Cricetulus griseus: one gene and its partner. The protein of the gene in region 1 purifies or fractionates together with the protein of each later gene. This does not show direct contact. Links are inferred from orthologs where the notes say so. Each region holds a gene or a part of one and is shown on either strand. Other genes may lie near its edges.

Region 1 (3,815 bases):
GAAGCACAATTTAAAATTCTGGCAAATTTAGAAAACTTCAAGTTTACACCATAAATGGGCATCAATACAGAGCACATTGGTAACTGTGACTGCCAATGTGCATAGCAGATGGAGGCTGATAGAAGAACCTGGCCCCATTTCCATTCTCTCTCTCTCTCTGTTAGTTAGGACTGGCAATCCTAGAGAAGTGACCTCAAACACCCATGAAACCCCTGCATATGAGTATTGGTTGGTTATGTGGTTAACGTGCTATATCAGGAAACACAAGGCCATGGATCTCTCTGTCTAGTTCTGTCTCTTTGTTCAATAAAAGAAGGTGCTAAAGATATTTTACATGGAACCCTAGAGTGCCGTACACTAAAGATATATCTCCAAGGCATTTCAAGCCTACAAAAGAGCTAAGACTTCAGCATCAACACCAGGCAGGTAGTGGGACATGCTAGAGTTAACACAGCCCAAACATCTACAGGGCTGTATCATGATTATCCATAGCTAGAGGCTTCCTTGGCCATCCTGATTAGTTCAGCTCTGGTGAGGGAATCACACTGGATTCCACCCATGCACTCTTGCTGGGGCACCTCATCTGGGCAAGTACACTCATTTCCTCTGTGGTCCTTGACAGGTCCGTGGCAAGTTCACAGCACAATCAATTTAAACTCAAGACAAAGCTCTTTCCATTAGACTATAGCATCTTCAGGGTTTTTCTTAGGGTCCTTCTTAGCTGGGTTGTTGTTCAGTCTCCTCAGTTTCTCAGTGCTGGGTCATAACCAGCTGTGTGGAAGCTGCACATCAGCTACGGACAAGTCTTCTATGCACAGTTGTAAGGACCTCCTGTTCCACACTCAGGGTTCTGCAATGTCTTGTGGGCAGAGGGTAGTCTTCATAGAAAGCCAAATCAGGACACCCCCAAATCCTCGTCTTTGTAGTGAGACAGCTTCCTAGCAGCAGGTCACACATGGGATGCTACATTAAGTGTGTATGTTCACAGTGCACATACATGATGTTTAGCCCTGTTATCTTTTGACCCTTTTGCTAGCCTGTTTCAAACTGGCAGTGAGGATCCTGGAGACCAGAACTTTCAGAGAGCTGCCTTGGTTTACTGGAGATAAGTACAGTCTTGGAGTACAGACCTGCTGGCTGGGAGGTAGCCATCAGAACAAGGAGGCCTAAGACCTACAGGGATGGAAACAAAGCAGCCAGTCCCTGCAGAGGGCCATTGTTGAGACTGAAAATCAAGGTTGAACTGTTCTCTGGATAAGATCAAAGAGGCTGGCCTCTTAACAACTTGAAGACGGTTTATATGCCTGCCCTCAACTGATGCAGACTAAATATTTTCCATCTGTCCTTGAGGAAGGTGTCAGTAGGCCATGCCAGAGGGCATCAGCACCACAGGAAGAAAGGAGGGCTGTGTATGCATGAAAACAATGAGTGCAAGGATCAAGGGGAAGGAAGAAGACAGGGAGACAGGGAGCAAAGAACCTGACACATCATGCAGATCCTGAACTGCTAACTCCCAGACAAGCGCCGCTGAGGATGTTGACTTGCGTGTACTGCAAGGGATGTGATCCCAGGGGCCCTAAGAATAAGAGGTGCAAACAGTTGTAGAACCTTCTAGCTTTTCTAATATCTCATAGTTACAGTCTATAGAAGACTTGACTGAGGTTTGGCTAATGCACAAAGGCAGTTCAAACCACAATCAATATCCAGTGCTTCTCTACAACAAAGACTCAGTCACGGCATCTGGGGAAGGTATAAAGAGTCACTCATCCTTGGTCTCTCCATTCTGCACCACAAACTTGTCAGCTGTACTTGGCAGCTCCTCCTCCTGCCTCACTCAGGATGACGGTATCTGCATTCACTGCTCCACTCAAAACAGACTCTTCCCTGGCAGTCACCTTACATACACATCTGAGTCCTTTTGTGGACAAAGTTCTGACCCTTACACAGGAGTGAGCAGATCCATAAGGCAAAGGGTCATAGATAGACTTTCTGTCCAGTGGACACAGGCCAACAGGACCAGATTACACTGTAACCAAGTAGGTCTGGCTATCTCTGCTAAAGTAAGGGCTCCAAGCTTCCTAGCTGCTGCCTAAGGACCTCTGTGTTACATGGACCCAAAAAGACGTCCTTCTCACCCCACTTGGGACCAGGACAGATAAGTAAACCCCAGACCCACTGTTAAAGCTGCTATGAGGTACAGTACATACCAAGACATCAAAAACTCAACCTCTTCATTGTGAAAACCAGATCATCTAACCAGGCTGCTATGCAGGGCCTACAGTCAGTCAACCTACCCTGCCCATCACAGGATATGCTCGTGATATGTCCTGGTATGGCCTGGGGGAAGAGGTAAAGATACCAGTACTGCCTCCAAAGGCTTCTTGACCTTACTCACAGGAAACATGTCCATGAAAACAGACTACAGTGGCTAATGAAGCAACATGGTGTATCAAAGACCACTGCTACTCTGAAGGGAAGGATGGGACAATTCACACAGACCAAGAAGTGAGGCTCCTTCAGAGACAACAGGGAACACACATGAACTTCTCTAGAGTCCTGAGGGCTGCTTTCTGTAGAAAGCCTACACCCAGTTGCTGATCCCTCTCTAAGCCACGCCTGATCTATACACATACAAGCTTAGGTACCATGTGGCTGGGCATGTGACAGTGAAAAGAACCTGAGGCAAAAGCCTTTTCTCCGTAAGTAGCTACTCTCAGGGTTCCTATGAGGAAGAACAAATGTGTTTATCTAAGTAATCACTCTCTGGCACCAGCAGCCTGTCCCTGGGCACTATGCAGGTCAGAGCCTTTGCTCTCCCACAAGCTGCGGAGCTCACACTTGTTACAGCCCCAGCCCCAGCACTTTACTTCATCAACCTACTGACTTGCTCTGCATTGGTTCTTGTAGTCAGAACCTAAGCAGGCCCTGCAGCCTGGCCGTCCCTCCTTCCATCAATGGGGCTTTTAGGCTCCATGGGAAGCCGACACTAAACAGTTCTAGGCTATGGTGTAGTTAGGGCACATGTAGAGAAATTCTCAAGGCTGTGATGCCAGAGCTTGCAGCTCAGGTATGAGTTGTGGCTGAGTAGCAGTATGTACCTACCCTCAGGTAAGGAAGAGATGAAGGAGCAGTGGGGCTTTCCTAGGTAGGACATCGTAGAACTGCAGCAGAGACTAAGTCAGGACTAGCCTATCTTCATGCCTTCTTCCCCACCAGCATGACCCACCCGCCTGCTGATGGTACAAGAGAGCCATGATGCTCATACCAGCTCATGGCTCTGGGGCTTGCCCTGCAGCTTCTGATGGTAGTCAAAGGTGAGTCTGTCCAGGACTGCCTGTTCCTCCTCATCCACAGTGGCCATGGAGCGCTCCTTGTTAATCTTGTCAATGTCGATAGGCTCTTCTCCCTCTAGGATCGCACTCCACCAGTACTCGCCAACCTTGCTCAGGTTCACCTGGGACAAGCAGGAAAAAAAAATTGTATCAAGTATGGCAGGAAACAGCCCAAACCACTAGGGAAAGAATACTTAGCACTGTAAACAGGGCAGACTAAGGGACAGGCATACTGTACCGGGGACAGAACAAGGTATGAGAGGGGCAGATATCCCAGGTTGAGCTTAAGACCTGCACAAAGGCAAGGTGGCTATATGAGTAGACATGAGATCATCACACACAGGAACCTCTGAGCCAGAAGTCATGTTGACACTTAAGGAGTCCTGTATCCTATAGATCTTAGTCCTCAGAATAAGCATACTGTCTACCACATGTGCCCACTCTTACTAGGCAGACGTTGTTTTCTAAAATCCTCTGATCCCA
Region 2 (4,530 bases), on another chromosome or scaffold:
TATACACCATTCTGCTTCCATGTATATCTGCACACCAAAGAGGGCACCAGATCTCATAACGGATGGTTGTGAGCCACCATGTGGTTACTGGGAATTGAACTCAGGACCTCTGGAAGAGCAGTCAGTGCTCTTAACCTCTGAGCCATCTCTCCAGCCTGTTTCTCACTCTTTTAAAATACTTAAATGTTGGAATATGAAAAGCATCTGTCTCTAATAACCATTAATGTTCGAGTCTGGTTTCTCATCTTTAATAATACAATGACTGATATTGTGATTTTTGCTCTGATACCTTCTTAGGCACTGTGATTTTGTTCTTCCTTTTCCATATAGGAAGTAATCCCTTGGATGTCCCTTTTCACAGATAGCCCACACTTTACAGCAAGTCAGGGAATGCTCACCCCAACTCTTATACCAAATAGCCTCCCAGAATGTTCCTGGACTGGCAAGAATTTCTCAAGATCAGTCTCATTTAAACAGGGCTCTTGTATCAAATAGGTTGGATTGCTGCTAGAGCACCTTGGAAAAACAATGCTGGTCTACTAGCCTCTACAACATGTTTTAAGTAAGCTCTCTATATACCGATTTTGGAAAATCTTGAACAACAACAAAAAAAGAGAAAGATATAACAGGATATATGCTATTTAGTAAAAAAAGAAAAAAACCAAAACAGGAAGTAGAAGAACATAAGCATATTTTTAGTTTGCATACAAGAAAATGCTAGAAAGATTTAAAGACAGCGATAACGTCAAATTCAGAGAATAGAGAGTTATGGCAAATTATACACTTATTGCAAATCACAATTAAAATTTGCAATTAGAGAACTGTGTTTTAATAAATAAAAAAAGTCATAAAAGGGAAATCCAAGAGAAGGGAAATGCAAACCCAAGCAGTGCTGGTAACATTATTTTGGAAACATTGAGTTGAATATTCTAATAAATATTATCATTATTCAATAGAGAATAAGGTTTTGTGTGCAAATTCTCTAAGCTTATTAATTTTCCATAAGACAATGAAGGACAAGGTTTATACACTCAGGAGAAAAACAGTGGGCAAAGTAAACTATAACATGCTTAATTATTGGGAAATTGTGCAACCATTTAAAAAGTATTTAGGAAACAAAACCATGAATAAAGTCTTTATGATGGCTTTCCCTCTCCCTCCAAGTCTTCAAGAGGTATCATTAGGACCAAACTTTAGTAACAAGTTAAATGCCACGTGTTTTAAATGCTTAAAAACACTTACAACTCCTATTTTAAGTGAGGCATTTATTGAGTGTGATGTAAATTGTAAAACTTTTTTTTTTAATTAAATGATACAATGACTTATTCTGCCAGGTTTCTCCTCAGTTTTTAACAAAGGCTGCGTTTCGTGGCTGTTCTGGCACAAGCGAAGAAGCGTAAATCTTAGAAAGAATGCGCTCTTGGAAAGTGGTAAGAAAACCTCACGCAGCAAGCATGCATGCACGCCTGCGCACTCCTGCAAGCTTGCAAGAAGGGGGCCCCCTCCAGGGCCTCGCTGGGGGAGCGCAACCCCGCCCCCAGCCCGCCCGCGCCCTTCCCCCATCCGCCCGCCCCCTTGCCAGGCCAGCCGCGCAGGCGCAGTAGCTGTGCAGCCGCTCCTAACCCGGGGGATCCTGGGATTCGGCCTTTCCGGAAGGACGAGCTAGGTGTTCGGTCTAGGCCGCCGTTCCAGCCCTAAACCAGAGTTCCAGGTCCTGCTCCCAGCCGAGCCGGTGGCCGAGGAGACGCTACGCGGACCTCCGAGGGCGTAGCGGCGACTGGCGGAGGTGCGGAGCCCGGCGGGCGGTGGCGGCGGTGCGCAGGCCGTGACGGCCCCTCCCCCGCCCCGAGAGCAGCTGCAGAGGACGACAGCGCGGGCCCGCCGCGGTGAAGCGGTCGCTGAACTGCCTCAGGTTATGACTCACCGGCTTTACTGTCACATTTGAGGTCCGCCGGCCGCGTTGCGTGATCCTGCCGCAGGGCGGGCGTGGGTGTGCGCGGAGCGGAGCGGAGCGGGGCTGCGGCGACTGATCGCCCTTGGTTCGTTCTGCGGCCCTGAGTTTGCTCAGAGCGTTCTCTTTGTAACGTCTGCGGCCTGTGGCTCGCTGCGAACGCAGGGCTCTCACATGAAGGTGTCTCTCGGTACCGGCGGCGAGATGGGCGTCTCTGCCCACCTGCAGCCCTGCAAGGCAGGAACGACGCGGTTTTTTACCAGCAATACCCACAGCTCGGTGGTGTTGCAAGGCTTTGATCAGCTCAGACTCGAGGGCCTGCTTTGTGACGTGACTCTGGTACCTGGTGATGGCGATGAGATCTTCCCGGTTCATAGAGCCATGATGGCGTCTGCTAGCGATTATTTCAAGGCCATGTTCACAGGCGGAATGAAAGAACAAGATTTAATGTGCATTAAACTTCATGGGGTGAACAAAGTTGGCCTGAAGAAAATCATTGATTTTATTTATACCGCAAAATTGTCCCTTAACATGGACAATCTTCAGGACACCCTTGAAGCTGCCAGCTTTCTACAAATCTTACCAGTTTTGGACTTTTGTAAAGTATTTCTTATATCAGGCGTCTCTTTAGATAACTGTGTTGAGGTCGGACGGATTGCTAACACCTACAATCTTATAGAAGTGGATAAATATGTAAATAATTTCATCCTGAAGAACTTTCCTGCATTGCTGAGTACTGGGGAGTTCCTAAAACTCCCCTTTGAACGGCTTGCCTTTGTGCTTTCCAGCAATAGTCTCAAGCACTGTTCCGAACTTGAACTTTTCAAGGCAGCCTGCCGCTGGTTGAGGCTGGAAGACCCTCGGATGGACTATGCTGCAAAATTAATGAAGAATATTCGATTTCCACTGATGACACCACAGGACCTCATCAACTATGTGCAGACAGTAGATTTCATGAGAACAGACAATACCTGTGTGAATTTACTTTTGGAAGCAAGCAATTACCAAATGATGCCATATATGCAGCCAGTGATGCAGTCAGACAGAACTGCCATTCGCTCTGATTCCACTCACCTTGTTACCTTAGGAGGCGTTCTGAGGCAGCAGCTAGTGGTCAGTAAAGAATTGAGGATGTACGATGAAAGGGCACAGGAGTGGAAGTCCTTAGCCCCCATGGATGCTCCTCGATACCAGCATGGCATTGCTGTTATTGGAAATTTCCTTTATGTAGTTGGTGGTCAGAGTAATTATGATACAAAAGGAAAAACTGCTGTTGATACAGTTTTCAGATTTGACCCTCGGTATAATAAATGGATGCAGGTGGCATCATTAAATGAAAAGCGCACATTCTTTCACCTGAGTGCCCTTAAAGGACATTTGTATGCAGTTGGTGGGCGCAGTGCAGCTGGTGAACTGGCCACAGTAGAATGTTACAACCCAAGAATGAACGAATGGAGCTATGTTGCGAAAATGAGTGAACCCCACTATGGTCATGCCGGAACAGTGTATGGGGGTCTAATGTATATTTCAGGAGGAATTACTCATGACACTTTCCAAAATGAGCTCATGTGTTTTGACCCAGATACAGACAAATGGACACAGAAGGCTCCTATGACTACAGTCCGAGGCCTGCACTGCATGTGTACAGTTGGAGACAAGCTGTATGTGATTGGTGGCAACCACTTCAGAGGAACAAGTGATTATGATGATGTTCTCAGCTGCGAATATTATTCACCAACTCTTGACCAGTGGACTCCAATTGCTGCTATGCTGAGAGGTCAGAGTGATGTTGGAGTTGCTGTTTTTGAAAACAAAATCTATGTTGTTGGTGGATATTCTTGGAATAACCGTTGCATGGTAGAAATTGTCCAGAAGTACGACCCGGAAAAAGATGAGTGGCATAAAGTTTTTGATCTTCCAGAGTCACTTGGCGGCATTCGGGCTTGTACTCTCACAGTTTTTCCGCCTGAAGAAAACCCTGGGTCACCTTCAAGAGAATCGCCTCTTTCAGCACCTTCAGATCATTCTTAGATACAAGGTGTAATACCTTTTCAGTGTATTCATGGATGATCTCCCTTCCCCTTCAATTGTCTCTTATTACTCTCTACAGTTAATAGACAAAAAGGTAACTTAGGGTTTTTTGTTTTGCTTAATATGTTATTAAATGGCTACCAAGTACATTCTGAAAAAAATGTGTTTTAACACATATTTAGCTGTTTTAACAAGTGAAAGATATATGAAAAATTAGATATCTTTTGTGGTGTTACATATGTCAAATTGTAGGTGATCATAGTGAATGTGTAATTGTCTATTATGCTACAAAGTTGAAAGTTTTGATTTGACTAAAACAGTAAAATGAAGGTCCCCCTGTTATAAACTAAAATAATAAAAGATTGCCAAGGTACAGCTACCTCCCTCTTGGATAGTTTTTGACAATTTGTTAACTAGGCTATGTGATTACTCTTAGAATATATGAAGTTTCTTAGGTAGAAGTAGTAGTACAAATATTAACTAGAAGTAACAGTAAGTCAAGATTTGTTATCTTACTGGAGAAAAGAAAATTTTGACGTGTATACATA

What was found.
Region 2: the proteins of Nudcd3 (region 1) and Klhl9 purify together in Homo sapiens (co-immunoprecipitation; 3 studies listed by BioGRID and IntAct, with this or other methods). This does not show direct contact. The link is inferred for Cricetulus griseus from reciprocal best matches to the Homo sapiens genes NUDCD3 and KLHL9.

Annotation. Positions count from the first base shown.
Region 1 is NW_023276807.1:98,741,481-98,745,295, reverse strand, and holds part of Nudcd3 (nudC domain-containing protein 3), read right to left. Parts: intron 3,455-3,815; coding exon 3,266-3,454; intron 1-3,265.
Region 2 is NC_048595.1:59,402,225-59,406,754, reverse strand, and holds the start of Klhl9 (kelch-like protein 9), read left to right. Parts: upstream 1-1,602; 5' UTR 1,603-2,125; coding exon 2,126-3,982; 3' UTR 3,983-4,530.